2 linked regions of the Canis lupus familiaris genome follow. The protein of the gene in region 2 purifies or fractionates together with the protein of the main gene of each other region. This does not show direct contact. Links are inferred from orthologs where the notes say so. Each region holds a gene or a part of one and is shown on either strand. Other genes may lie near its edges.

What was found.
Region 1: the proteins of ZNF346 (region 2) and KRR1 small subunit processome component homolog purify together in Homo sapiens (affinity purification with mass spectrometry; 3 studies listed by BioGRID and IntAct, with this or other methods). This does not show direct contact. The link is inferred for Canis lupus familiaris from reciprocal best matches to the Homo sapiens genes ZNF346 and KRR1.

What each region holds. Positions count from the first base shown.
Region 1 is NC_049236.1:18,823,080-18,830,271, forward strand, and holds part of KRR1 small subunit processome component homolog, read right to left. Parts: intron 6,277-7,192; coding exon 6,104-6,276; intron 4,496-6,103; coding exon 4,361-4,495; intron 4,181-4,360; coding exon 4,055-4,180; intron 3,970-4,054; coding exon 3,886-3,969; intron 2,914-3,885; coding exon 2,857-2,913; intron 1,360-2,856; coding exon 1,189-1,359; intron 1-1,188. UniProt on the Homo sapiens protein: Part of the small subunit (SSU) processome, first precursor of the small eukaryotic ribosomal subunit.
Region 2 is NC_049225.1:37,186,563-37,193,854, forward strand, and holds the start of ZNF346 (zinc finger protein 346), read right to left. Parts: upstream 3,939-7,292; 5' UTR 3,892-3,938; coding exon 3,717-3,891; intron 1-3,716.

The sequences.
Region 1 (7,192 bases), on a different chromosome or scaffold from region 2:
ACAATTACTAACTAGAGGACAGGCCCATAAGAAGGATAGTAGGTGTTATGGAAGCACGCCTGAGTAATAAGATCACTCTACCTTCCCCCAACTAACAGTGCCTTTCTTTGCTTCCCTTTCCAGAATAGACCTCATGATCCAACACTTCCATTGTTTTATCACCATGATCACTTTTCCACTCTGACCTTCATCAAACCTCTGAAATTCAAACTCCAAATATAGAAAGAGATGTGTTACTATGCTGAGAACAAAGAACTAGAAGAAAGGAAGGACCTTTCGATACAGCCAACGTAGGGAATCATGACATAAGATACCTCAGAAGATAGGTGAAGACAGAATTCAAAGAACAGGTGAAGAAAGGACTGGCGCAGATGGAAAAAAAAATTACAGGTGAGAGAAAAGGAAGGTAAAGGAGTTCTCACTTGATAGTCTTAAATACTGCCATACAATAAAATACAGTGTCATCTGCTAGAGGTGGGAGGGTGCTTCAAGAACTAAGAGGACACACAGAACTACTAGACAACAGTGAGGATCTGAGGTTGGAAACGCATCATTATAATGGATACAGTCCAAAGACTTTCTCCAAATATGTTTAGCAGCCACATTATGGGAAAGGAGTCAAATTTTAGGACTGACCAAGTTTGAGAGTTTTGCTGGACAGATGTGATAGAAGGAAAAGGCAGCATAAAAGAAATAGTGATGAGACAGAGAGAAAAGGAAATTTGGGGAAAAAAATGAAGCCAGAAAACAAGTGACCATAAGAGAAGCCCTCATAAATTAAAAAAAAGAGGGGGTACAGATGTTAGAATTTAAGATTTCAAAACTGGAGTAGTCATATAGCACATGTCACAAGAATGATGTTAAGGCAGAGTGAGAGCACTAAGGGCTAAGTTGTGTTGTTGTTGTTTAATCCATGGGATGTTTATTGTGGCCACAGGGGCACAACTGACAGCAACCACCTAGACAGAGGTTACACTCTTACTGTGAAGCCCCTACTCCCCACGCCCACACTTAGCTCAAAATAAGCCTATTTACACTTACCTTTAGTTTCTTATACTTACACACACACACACACACACACACACACACACAGAGAAAATCTACCTAAATAACTCTCCATAAACTTTCTAACAAAATAGATTAAAATGGTATCCCCCTAATATAAATAAATTCAACATTAATACTGACCTGACTTTCTGGCTGTGGTGGTGGGAATGGTGTATACTCTTTCTTGACAGTTTTCTTCTTTGGCTCCTTGCGTTTATTCACATTTTTGTGCTTGAACTGTGGCAAGAATCTTTCCCAACTTTGTGATCTTAATTCAGAATCTTTTGCCAACTCTCGTTTAATCATTAAGGTCTTTAGTCATGGTGATATATGAACAAAGAAAGAATTTTTAATTTTATAAGTAATACATTTGTCAAACTAAGACATTATAAATATTATTCCTATAAATAATACAATTAAAATGAGTAGTTCTTAATCTCCTCAGTAGGAGCAAAAGACTCCATAAGAAAAGTAATCTCAAATCAAGCATCAAGAAAACCATTAGAAATTTAGATTAAGAAATGCAGAATTATTGGGGCGCCTGGGTGGCTCAATTGGTTAAGCGTCTGCCTTCAGCTCAGGTCATAATCTCAAGGTCCTGGGATCGAGTCTCATGTCAGGCTCCTTGCTCAGTGGGGACCCTGCTTCTCCCTCTCTCCCCGCTCTCTCTCAAAAACAAAAACAAAACAAAAACAAAAGAAAAACCTTAAAAAAATGCAGAACTGTTAAAATGAACGGAGATGAGACAACTCAGCTTTTCAACCATTAGTTCACTAAAACCTTTAAAATTTGGGTGCCTTGGTGGCTCAGGTCATAATCTCCAGATCCTGGGCTGGAGCCCCGCATCAGGCTTCCTGCTCAGCAGGGGGTCTGCTTTTTTCATGCTCTCCCTCTGCCCCTACCCATCACTTGTTCTCTCAAATAAATAAAATCTTTAAAAAACAAACAAAAAAGTCTTTAAAATACATATTAATTGGAGCAGGGAGAGTTCTTAATTAGCAATGTTCCCTAAAAGCTGGAAGTTTTTGGGTAGCACTTTAATTATCACAGGGAAAGAAAAAAGTAAACTTTCTCTTGATCAGACAAAACCAATATTCTCACATTTCTCCCACTCCATGTGAATTCTGCACACACTGGAACATCAAAGGATGCAAACCGGGCATCAGATACAAGACTAGCAGCTCTTTTTATCTTCAATGTCCCAAGGCAACTCAAAATCGTTCTTCCATCCCAATCTAAGAGTGACTTTGTAACTTTATCAAATTTAAGTGGATTGCTTCAAAAATACCCTCATGAAATAGTTCATTAACAACAGGTATAATCATGAGTTATATGTTCCCAGGTATAATCATGAATGCTGAGCACACAAGGATATAACAGATCTCTCTCAAAGAGTTTATAATTTGAACATTAAATTAAAAAAAAATAGTGTTAATGCAATCTGACGTATTCCAGACTCTACTAATAGAAAAAGGGCAGAATTCTGAACGATCACATCTTCAAATATAGTAATGGGCCCATAATCCAAGAAAACCTGACTGAGATCATCTATGACCAATTTCATGAAGCGTATGTCCTTCGTATCAGAACTACACCATACGTTACGGCACAGCACAGAGACCTAAGCCTCCACGGATATAACTCCAGGACTAGGGTAGTTGGGTGTGCAGAACTCTACCTCTACCCTGAATAATTCTGCTTTATCTGCTTTGTGCATTAGGCTTCCATAAAAAATCTAATTTCAAGAAAAGTTTCTGCACCTAAAAGAAGTCTGACAATCACTGTTACAGTAACATATAATTAACTCACTTTAATGTTATAAATTGGATGGATATTCTTCATAGTATCTAGGACTACTTTTCGAACCTGAAATTTGCAAAGAAAAATGAATTAGTCATTTAAAAAGATTTTAATGAACTCAGTGGAAGGAGATTAATACACTGCAACATACCCTATGAACCAGGCAATGACTCCCAAATTGAATACAGTAGGCCTTCAACTGCTCTGGGTGACCTCTAGATCTTTCATAATAGTCAACTTCTCTTGGAAGCAATGGATTTTCTCAACTTACTGCTAAAATGTAACATATAGAACTAATACAACAACATTTTGGAACTGTGGAATTTAGGAAGAAAGTAGCTAGATTTAGTCAGAAAATACGGGCTCAATAATGGGAATGCCACTTCGTAAGGGAAAGTCACCTGTCCTTTTCCTGCTTTCTCATTTGTAGTACAGAAGTAAAACTATCTCAAGGCTCTGCTGTAAAAATTAAATAAGACAATATATTTAGACTTCACAAAACCACAGGATATTCAATATATTTAAGTTATTATTATTGCCACATGAGAAGAGGACAGATAACTAGAAGAGGTCCAACAGAACTACTGTAGGTCCTAGAAAGGGAACAAGACCTCGCAGCCAGATCCAGACAACAAAAGGAGTTAAGACACAGTAACTGCTCCACAGATTTTTTCATAACATTAAATACTACACTAAACTTCAGACAAAAAAACAAACAAAAAAAAAAAACAAAAAAAAAAAGAAAACTATTTTAAAGGAAAGTTTCCAGAATCTGACCTCTACTAGTTTATATAGGTTACTGCAAATAATATCAACATTCAATTCTCTAATCACTTGAGCACATGTAAATACACATTTCCTGTATGTGCTAGAGACTAAAAATCTTAAATACTCATTTAAAATTTGTAGTGGAAAAAGAAATGATGTGCAGACCTTCTAACTCAGGAGTGGATACTTCCTTAGTTGCCAAAGGTTGACCATATTATGTTAGGATCTAGGAGTGATGAAAATTAACTGAAGATAGTAAATAGTTCTCACCTCTTTTAAGCCACTAAAAGGTCCAATGACTGAAACCGTGTTTCCCTGAACCATAATATAACAGTTTGTTAACAGTTCCAAAGCCTATAACAAAAGATTAAGCTCAAATTCAGTACAATGAAAAACTAATGACAGAGAAAGACTCAAGTTTTCCACTGATAAAAAGTACCTTTAATGTAGATCCTTTGGGGCCAATGAGACGTTGTCTTCTTTTTACAAATCTTTCTTTATTTCTTACTAAAGAACCTATTTTAATGATGTCACAAGCAACATCATCCTGAAGAATTCGTACTGCCTTTGGGAAAAACGAAGAAAATATTCCATCAATATTCTTTACAAACACATTTGTTTTCAAGGCCCAGGCTAATGAAATCTAACCAGAAAAATAAAAACTCTAAGACGGAGGGATGCAGTGTTATATGTTATCTCTAAAGTTGATGCAAATACAGCAAAGTTTTTGTAATTCTAAATTTACCTGTTCAAATGAAACACTTCTTGCTAAAAGTTTTATTAGGTCTCTGGCCCTAATGATGATATACGGATCAAAAGTCTTCTTTGTTGTACAAACAGTCATACTGCCCTCGATCAGGTCCAGGGTTGCATTAACGTGCTGAGAAAAGCAAAGAGCAAATACACAACTGTCTAAAAATCAATTCAATTTTAGGTAATTACAAAGCCTATCCTATCAAACTATTAATTACTGTAAATTAAGCTCTAATTCTATCAACTCCCCCCTTGAAGAAGCTGAGTAGTTGATAAAAATAATGAACATTGATTACTTTCATATTTCAAAGAATGTAAGAAACTTAGGCACTGAAACCATTTCTACTTGGCTTTAGAACTTTGTACTCAAAGATAATTTCTAGTTTAAAAAATATGTATCAATGCAAATGAGGTCATACTTAAGACCTAGGGTGAAAATCTAAAGCTACATATAGCTCCTCTATCCTGGACAGGGCTGTGATCTGCCATCTGCTCCTTTGGGTTAAGAACAGACTTTTCCTTTCAAACTTTCTTCTACCTGGTATTAGCTAAATACAAAGTAAAAACAAATTCTCATAGGTTCAGAAAGAAAAAATAACTGGAAAATTAGGCATTAACTGTTCATAGGAAGAAACAGATTTCAACAAAGCAAATTAAAATGTCATTTTCTGATAGCATCTTGTGAATTATATTTCAGTGTAGTGAGTGATGAACAATTCAACATAAGGTTGGGTCTCTGTGAGTTTACAAGTCTAATCTCAGATGCAGACAGCTGTAAAACAGCCTGTGGTTTGCTGAACCACCCTAATACCTAACAGGCACAAAACTCTGGAGCAGTCACCTAGATGAGAAACACATTTTATATCACAACCTGGTGTGTGCACAGGTTCTCACGTGCACATATATAAATGAACCAAAAACTTCATAAAATGAAACTTATCCTTACCATATGTGATACTTATTTTTATTTTTTGGATGCATTCCTTTTTTTAAGGCTCATTATATCCATTAAATGGGATTTCTTGCTCTACTAATGGGTTTCAATCCAGTTTGAAAAATAAAAACAAATGTATTACTCTAGGGAAATGGCAGCAGGTACATACAGGGGATAGTTGGCCACACCCTACCCCTTCCATTTAAAATGAAAATTAAGAAATCATCCAGGTACATGCCTCAACTCAAACTATACAGAAACATGGCAAATATCACAGTAGAGAACAGGCATTCTGAGATGAGTTTCAGAAAGTCGATGAGATCCCTACAGTTCTAAAGGTGTGTGAATTTTTAAAAGTAATCTATTACTCACAAAACTAAAAACAAGTGGATTAAAAGAATAAAGCTTCTATCTAGGTTGTTTAAAAGGAACCAGGGGCACCTGGGTGGCCCAGTCAGTTAAGCATCCGACCCTTGATTTCAGCTCAGGTCATGATTTCAAGGGCTGTGAGATCAAATGTCACGTTGGGCTCTGTGTTCGGCAGAGTCCACGCGGGACTCTGCCCCCCGCCTCTACTCACACATGCCTGTAGGTGCACACACTTACTCTAAAGATCTTTCTTTAAAAAAACAAAACACCAAAAAAGGAACTAAATTAACTACTTACACTAGTACCTTTTAATTTTTTTATTTTTATTTTTTTTACGCTAGTACCTTTTTAAAAAAATCCACCAGCATATATACTTATTTTTAGAAAAGGCATAAAAGCAAAATTTCAAATAAGTATATAAAATGTGCATACATGTTCATTCAAGGCTTTCTGTACCAAAGGCCAGCACTCTTTCAAGTAAGCCTCTCTATATTTTGGGAACAAAGTTGCAAAACTGCTCTCCTCCAAGAGTCCTCTGGGATTGTCCTCTTTAGAAAAAGCGGGTTCCTTCCAACCATCAGGAACAGTGAGGAGCTCAGATTCATCTAAAGAGAAGAAACATACACGTAAGATTTTACCCTTCTTGTGGACACTTTTAAAAATGCTTATATGTGGGATCCCTGGGTGGCTCAGCAGTTTAGTGCCGCCTTCGGCCCAGGGCGTGATCCTGGAGTCCCAGGATGGCGTCCCGCGTCGGGCTCCCTGCGTGGAGCCTGCTTCTCCCTCTGCCTGTCTCTCTGCCCCCCTCTCTCTCTGTGTTTCTAATGAATATATAAATTAAAAAAAAAAAGCTTATATGCATACATTTACACGCTTCCCAATACTCTTTGTAGTTCCTGTTTCCACGCTCTTTAGATGATTCAGCAAAGAACATGACGCCGTCATTATTTATCAACACACTATTAAAATCAACGGTCTACGCCAGCCTCATAGGACCAAGTTCCTTAAGGTCAGGGACCCTCCTTGGGTCTACAGTCCTCAGCGCTGCTCGGAAACTTCCACTGTACGACACGGTCTTAGAGTCAAAGATCCTAATACCACTTTGTTTCAATACAAATGACCTGTTAGACTTTCCTGAACTGCCGACTGTGTGTGTATACCATATATATATGCAGAGGCATGTACATTTTGTGCACACGCACACACACAGACTTAAAAGCTGATATTCTGGTGTAAACTCTGTTACCAATCACCGGTAGGTACATGGCTTCAGACTTTCCAAGGAGTTTCCATGTGCCTTGCTTCTGTATACACCTTCATGACAACTGTGAAACGTGGGAAGGACGGGTATTATTTTTCCCATTTTGTGAGAAACGTTTAGTCCAAAAAAAAGAAAAGATGAGTGACCGGTCTGTCTAAAGGGACACAAAGGTGATTCGGTCTAAGTCTCCAATCAATGAAATGAAATGTCTCCTAAGGGCATAAACGATCTCCGACATCATTTGTTAAAACTCCTGATCC
Region 2 (7,292 bases):
CCAGGGATCCCTCTCTCTGTTTCTCTTACGAATAAATAAGTAAAATCTTAAAAAAAAAGAAAAAAGGACATATTGTATAAATCAATAATTATGACACTGAACAATTAGGCTTATAACATATCAATGTAATATATATGACAATAATAGTACAAAGGAGGGGGAGGAATGGACCACTATTAGAAGAATGTTTTTATATTTTATCAGAATTAAGTTAGTATTAATTTGAAGTAGACTGTGATGAGTTAAGATGCATCCTGTAGTCCCTTGGGTACTAAGAAAATAAAATTAAAAAGTAAAATAAAAAAAAAGTATAAAAAATATTAACAGAAATTAAAATGGTCCACTAAAAAATACTTTTTTTTTTTTTAATTTTTATTTATTTATGATAGTCACAGAGAGAGAGAGAGAGAGGCAGAGACACAGGCAGAGGGAGAAGCAGGCTCCATGCACCGGGAGCCTGATGTGGGATTCGATCCTGGGTCTCCAGGATCGCGCCCTGGGCCAAAGGCAGGCGCCAAACCGCTGCGCCACCCAGGGATCCCCACTAAAAAATACTTAAAAGAAGTCAGTAAAGGAGAAAGGGAAGAACAAAATGTAAAGGAGAGAAAAAAAAAATGTAAAGGAGATAAACAGCAAAGTAGAAAATGTAAATCTAGCCATATCAATAATGAAATTAAATGTGAATAGTCTAAAGAGCCCACTCAAAAGGCAGAGACTGTCAAAGGATAAAAAAGCAAGATCTAGGGCAGCCCAGGTGGCTCAGCGGTTTAGCGCCGCCTTCAGTCCAGGGCCTGATCCTGGGGTCCCAGGATCGAGTCCCACGTCAGGCTCCCTGCATGGAGCCTGCTTCTCCCTCTGCCTATGTCTCTGCCTTTCTCTCTCTGTGTCTTTCATGAATAAATAAATAAAATCTTAAAAAAAAAATTTAAAAACGTAAGATCGGGATCCCTGGGTGGCGCAGCGGTTTGGCGCCTGCCTTTGGCCCAGGGCGTGATCCTGGAGACCCAGGATCGAATCCTACGTCGGGCTCCCGGTGCATGGAGCCTGCTTCTCTCTCTGCCTGTATCTCTGCCTCTCTCTCTCTCTCTCTCTGTGTGACTATCATAAATAAATAAAAATTAAAAAAAAATAAAAATAAGAAAAAATAAAAAAGCAAGATCTATACAATGGGGATTCTATTTAGCAACAAAAAGTAATTAAGTACTAATACACAGTACGACTTGGCTGAACCTCAAAAACATGTTGAGAAGCCAAATGCAAAAGGCTACATATTGTATGATTTTGTTTACATGAAATGTTCAGAATAGGTAAATTTATAGAGTACAGTGGTTGCCTAGGGCAGAAGGTAAGAGTGGAGGTTTAATGTAAAGAAGCACAAAGGGGGATCCCTGGGTGGCGCAGCGGTTTGGCGCCTGCCTTTGGCCCAGGGCGCGATCCTGGAGACCTGGGATCCAATCCCATGTCAGGCTCCCGGTGCATGGAGCCTGCTTCTCCCTCTGCCTGTGTCTCTGCCTCTCTCTCTCTCTCTCTCTCTCTGTGTGACTATCATAAATAAATAAAAATTAAAAAAAAAAAAAGAAGCACAAAGGAATTAACTGGAGTGATGGAAATATTCTAAAACGCAATTCTGTACTTTTACTTAAAAAATCATTGCATTGTGCAGTTACAATGGGTGAATTTTATGGTATATAAATTATCAATAAAAGTTGCTAAGAGAGGGGATCCCTGGGTGGCTCAGTGGTTTGGCGCCTGCCTTTGGCCCAGGGCGCGATCCTGGAGTCCCGGGATCGAGTCCCACATCGAGCTCCCGACATGGAGCCTGCTTCTCCCTCTCTGTCTCTCTCTCTCATAAATAAATAAATGTTAAAAAAAAAAAAAAGTTGCTAAGAGAAAAACAAAACAAAGAGGAGTAGAACTTGGGGTTACAGGTATCTACTTAGGCCTCATATAATTATTGGAAAGTGAGGAGAGTAGGAAAAATGAGCTGGGTCCTAAGTGACACTGTACATTCATAGACACATAAGCAATTCACTTTTTAGAGCACAGCTGTTGTGTTCTCTGCTTCAAGATCAAGCGATCCCTTCTTATCCCTCAAGGACAAAGGTCACTCCCTCTTTGTGCACAACCAATTCTTATACATTCTTCTTCACTGCACCCATTACATTAAGCTGAAACTGTTTTGGTGTCTGCTTCCTGGACTAGAACTATAAAATCCCTTCAGGACAAGGACAGTATCTTCCTCATCTCTGTAGCTCTGATGCCCAGCCATCCTGGGTACTGAGCAGGTATCAATGAATGTTTGTCAAATTAGTGAAAGGAAAATTGGGGTGTGTTTGGGGGAGGATTTGTATCAAACAAGTTTGAAATTATGAGGCAGAAAGAGGGCCCATATTAATTTAGGAGTCAGACTAGACTAGTTTTTAAATTGGAGAAGCATACAAAAGGGCATAGGTCTGTGTACCACCCCAAATGTAAACATACCTTCCTTGGATGTGGCCAAAATTCCATTTTATTCCAGGGTAATCAGTTCACAAGCAATACATTAAACTTTCCAAGATTAGTCTGCTCACCAAGTAAACAAATTATCTGATTTCCCTATAGATTACTTGACAGGATTAGCACAGGCCAAACAGTTCTTGTACTTCTGGCTAAGAGTTAAGCAGCTAACTGCTAAGGACTATGAAAGAGGTCACACAACCAAGTCAGGCCAGCTTTTACCATCCTCCTCTATCTCCACTTTACCCAGTGCCAGGTCAAATGCAGAGCAAGCTGGGAAGCTTTCAGCCCAGAAGTGGCCTCTCCTGTATCCTGTTCTCCACAACTTTGGCACAAGCATGGGATACAAAGAAGCTGGAGCCAAAGTATACTCTGGCCAGTTTCTCAGTCTCCCGGCCCTCACCTCATAAAAAGGACCCAGGCAGTTGAGACCAGACACCTAGAAACAGGGGTAAATCAGGTTCAAGACACCAAGGCCAGGAGGAACATAGGGTTAAGAAGACCTTCTGGACGGGCAGCCCGGGTGGCTCAGCGGTTTAGTGCCGCCTGCAGCCCAAGGTGTGATCCTGGAGACCTGGGATCGAGTCCCACGTCGGGGTCCCTGCGTGGAGCCTGCTTCTCTCTCTACCCCTCTCTCTCTGTGTCTCTCATGAATAAATAAATCTTAAAAAAAAAAAAATCTTAAATGTTTAAAAAAAAAAAAAAGAAGACCTTCTGGAGTCCTTGGCAGTGTGGGGTATGAGAGAAAGGATGCAAAGGAGGCAAGGGACATAGGGGTGGGGGAACCTGTGGACTGGGACGATGGAGTCTGTGAGAAATGGTGGGGGGCTAGTAGTCTGGCGGGGAAGGCTCCGTGGGTCTCCGAGAAGGGATGGATAGGAATGAAAGTCGTTTAAGAAGAGTTGAAGAAGAGCTGCGCTCTGGTGGGTGAGAATGGAGGGACCGGAGTACGAGAGGGGCCTTGACCATTTAAGCCCGGAGACCTCATTCCTGTGGTGCTGCGGCCTCAATTTTCGGGGTGCCTGGCCCATGGTACCCAGGCCCTGCTGGGGTGCACGAGTCCAGGAGTCCCGGGGCGCGTCACGCAAGGGGGCGGGCCGGGCGCCAGGGGGTGTGACCGGAGACCCGGGGGCTGTCCGTGCTCCCGCCCCGCGCTCCCGCCCCTCCCCGTGAAATGAGCGGGCGGTTGAACTCGCTGCCTCTGAGGTCCCCGGACTCACCTTCCTCCCTCCCCACTGGTTGGGCCCCGGACACTGCTTCCCAGAGGCGGCGCGCCCTCTCGCGGTCGAAGCGCAGCCCGTCCGGTTCCCGTCCTTCTCGTTCCTCGGAGCTGTTGTATGGCCGGGCCCCTCCACTGTCCGCGGCCTCTACGGTGCCCAACCCGCGATACTCCATCTTTCCAGCAAGCCCTAACCGGCCGATAGTCACTCATAAACCTTGGTCTCGCGAGATGTGGGACGTTGCCCGGCCAACAAATCTCGCGAGGTTTGGGCTCTGCGGACCGCCTTGCGGTAGGGGGCCCACACGCTTCTCTTTGGTCGCTGCTGGGGGTTCTCGGAGTGTGTGCTGTGGAATTGAAAGTCAGTCTCTGGTTTAACAGCAGCCCCCTCCCTCTGGTACAGGTTCGTGCAGTCTTAAGCCAAAGGTTTTCACCTTGCTCACTGTCAGCCTTCAACACTTCTCATTTCATTCTCTTGAAGGCCCTTGTTATGTGGGAACACTTTCTCCATTTTACTTAGGGAAACTGAGGCCCAGAACCTAGAAATAGTCGACTCAACAGTTTGCTACCAGGATGTGGTAGAGTCAGGACTCCATCTGCATGATTGGTTTACTGCTGATAATAAATAATACCATTTGAGTTTCAAGTTCTAACTCCCAGAGCAGACCTCCCCCTTAAACTCTCCCAATGTGACTGTCGGATCCAAAATTTCATCTTCCATCCCCACAACTCCTCCTCCCCGAGTCTTGGGGAGCCATCATCTCTTGCCAAGGTTATTGTAGCGTCTTCACTGGTCCTTTCCCTTGCCCTTCAGGTATTCGAAGCACAGCAGCCCCAGCAATCCTCTTAAAACAAGCCGCATCATGATACCCTGATGCTCCTATTCTTCAACAGTTTACCATCTCGCTCTTGGTAAAAGCCAAAGTCTTAGTCTAGCCAAAGGGCTCTATACAGTCCAACTCCCCTAACCTCCCTGTCTCATCCTTTATTGTGTTACTCTCCAACACCTTCATTATTGTGCCAGTTACCATGACCTGGAATGCATTTCCCCCGTATATCCTCAGGGCTCAGCCTCTCATTTCATTCTCTGATTACCCTATCTAAAATTTAACACCTCCACACATATTTCATGTCCTTCTTTCCTGCTTTATTATTTTTTTCCTTCTTAACACTTAACATTATCAGATATAGTATGTTTTTACTTTTTAACCTTGTTTTTTCTTTGTTTCCCCACTAGTAGTCATACCCCAAGAAAGAGATTTTTGTCTATTTTGTTCTCAGTTGAATCCCCAGCATCTTGAAATAGAACCTGGGCTCTCATAGGTACATACAAAATATTTGTTGAATGAATGAAAATGAAACTTTTAATATAATTATCATATTTCAACTTCATTTATTCAAATGCTTATTGAGAGTTTACTATGAGTTAGATGTTATCTTGGGCATTGGAATACAGTTGTGGACAGGGAAGCTCTAGTATAGTGTTTTTTTTTTTTTTTTCTAGTGGAGGAGAGTGTAATAAGTCAACAGATAGTAATAAGTGCTAAGGAGAAAATAAAACAGGAATATATATTGGGTGAATGACGTGGAAGGAATATTACTCACTGAATAATAAAGCCTCTGAATAAATGACATTTTATCTAAGACTGGATTGATGAGAACTGGAAAGTCATGCAAAGAGCTGGGGAAGAATGTTTCAGGAAGAGGGAACAGCAGGTCCAAAGGACCTGCGGCAGGGGTGAGCTTGCTCTGCTGGAAGAACAGGAAAAAGGACTGTATGTCTGGAGCCCAATGAACTAGGGGGAGGTGGTTATCAGAGAAGGCAAAAGAGAGAAACTGAGATGTTTCTTGCCTGAGATCACCCAGCTCACCAGTGGGGTTTACTTATTTATACTATAAATATTGTGCATCAGCTCTGTGTCAGACCTCATGCCTGACTCATCTATTACAATGCAATAGATGGTTGATAATTGTGTAGTGTTATAGTTTACAAAGCACCTTTAACATTTAATCCCCAGGGTAGTTCTCCTATGAAGGATTCTTTCTTATTCGACAATAAAGAAACAGACTGGGAGAGGTAAGGGTTTTATCAGGGTCACACAGCTAGTTAATATTAGAGCTTATGCTTGAACACCAGTCCTCAGGCTGCAAATCTGTGTCCTTTTGCCAATACCAGATGACTAGCCTAAAAAACAATGACTATACATTACTTATTTATCTCATAGAAAGTTTCTAGTTGCCCACATTTCCATAGCAGAGTTATTCAGCTAGAAATCCAAAGGTATGAAGGACATTTTTGTAAAATTCCCAGAATTCAAGCATGTATATTTGACAAAATGGAGCAAAAAATAGTCCCTTTCCCCTCATTCTCAATCTGATTAGATGCTCAAAACAATTTAGATTTATTCTCTAGTGAACACTACCATGAGGCTTTCTACTTCTCAGCTCTGTGAACACATCTCTAGTTGTTAGAAGTGACCATAAATTAAGTTTTACTAACAGGATGTGTACAAACATTATTTGACTCAGAATCTGAAATTGGTCTGAACAGCAGGGTTTGTTCTTGAGGAAAACAGTGACAAAGCTATGCTGACGTTGGCTGGGGGAAGGAGGGTGATGATGACATCCACCCCCCCATCTTTGCTGCAATCCTAGTCCATGGCTCAGGATGGGTCATTTTATAGTATCTTCAAGGCTGCAGGGAAGCATTGTCTTCAGGACTTGCCAAATTTTAAATCAGTGACTTTCCAAGAACAGATTGAAGATGTAGGGATGTTTGTTGATTACTGGTTTGGGATTTCCAGATGGTTTTTAGAAGGGAAAGGAGGAGAATTAGATTCAAGTAGAGCTTTCCAACTTTTTCCATGTCACAGCCCACTTAGAAAATGAGCATATCTGTATGGCAAGTTAGACTAAACAGATAAGGCAGCTTTTCTCATTACCCCACTGGTGGTCCTGGGACTCCCAACTATTCCAGGCCCTGCTGAGCTCCCCCTTGGGACAGGAGGAGTGGATGTTCAGAGCCATGTGAGGTACAATGGATGGCCATGATGTCTTGTACTCTGACAATGTCTGAGCCAGCAGGATTGGGATTAATTCCAATAATCTCTGAGATATAAACAGGCCATCAGTTAAAGCCATGAGATACTCAGCTTGATATCAACAGCTCCATTCTGCAGTCTTGACCTATGCAATATTAGGTAAATCATTTAATATTTGTAAATTAGCTTTTTCATCTGTAAAATGAGGAAATGACATCTGCTTTAAAGGTGGTTGTAAAGATAAACCAAAATAATTTCCATAAACTACTTACCACATTGCCTAGCACAAAATAAATGGTAGCTGTTATCAGTCTATTCTGAAAACTATATTTTTCTGATAATTTTACAAACTAATATTAGGTTCTAGTCTCCATCTCCATGAACCTAAACCCTACTTTTCTAGATCTAGAGTTTTAGATCCCATAATTTTTAGAACCTATTTCAATTAATTGTGCATTTGACTATGGATCAGAGTGAATTAGTTTATTTTTTAATTTTAATTTTTAAAAAAGATTTTATTTAGTTGACAGAGAGAG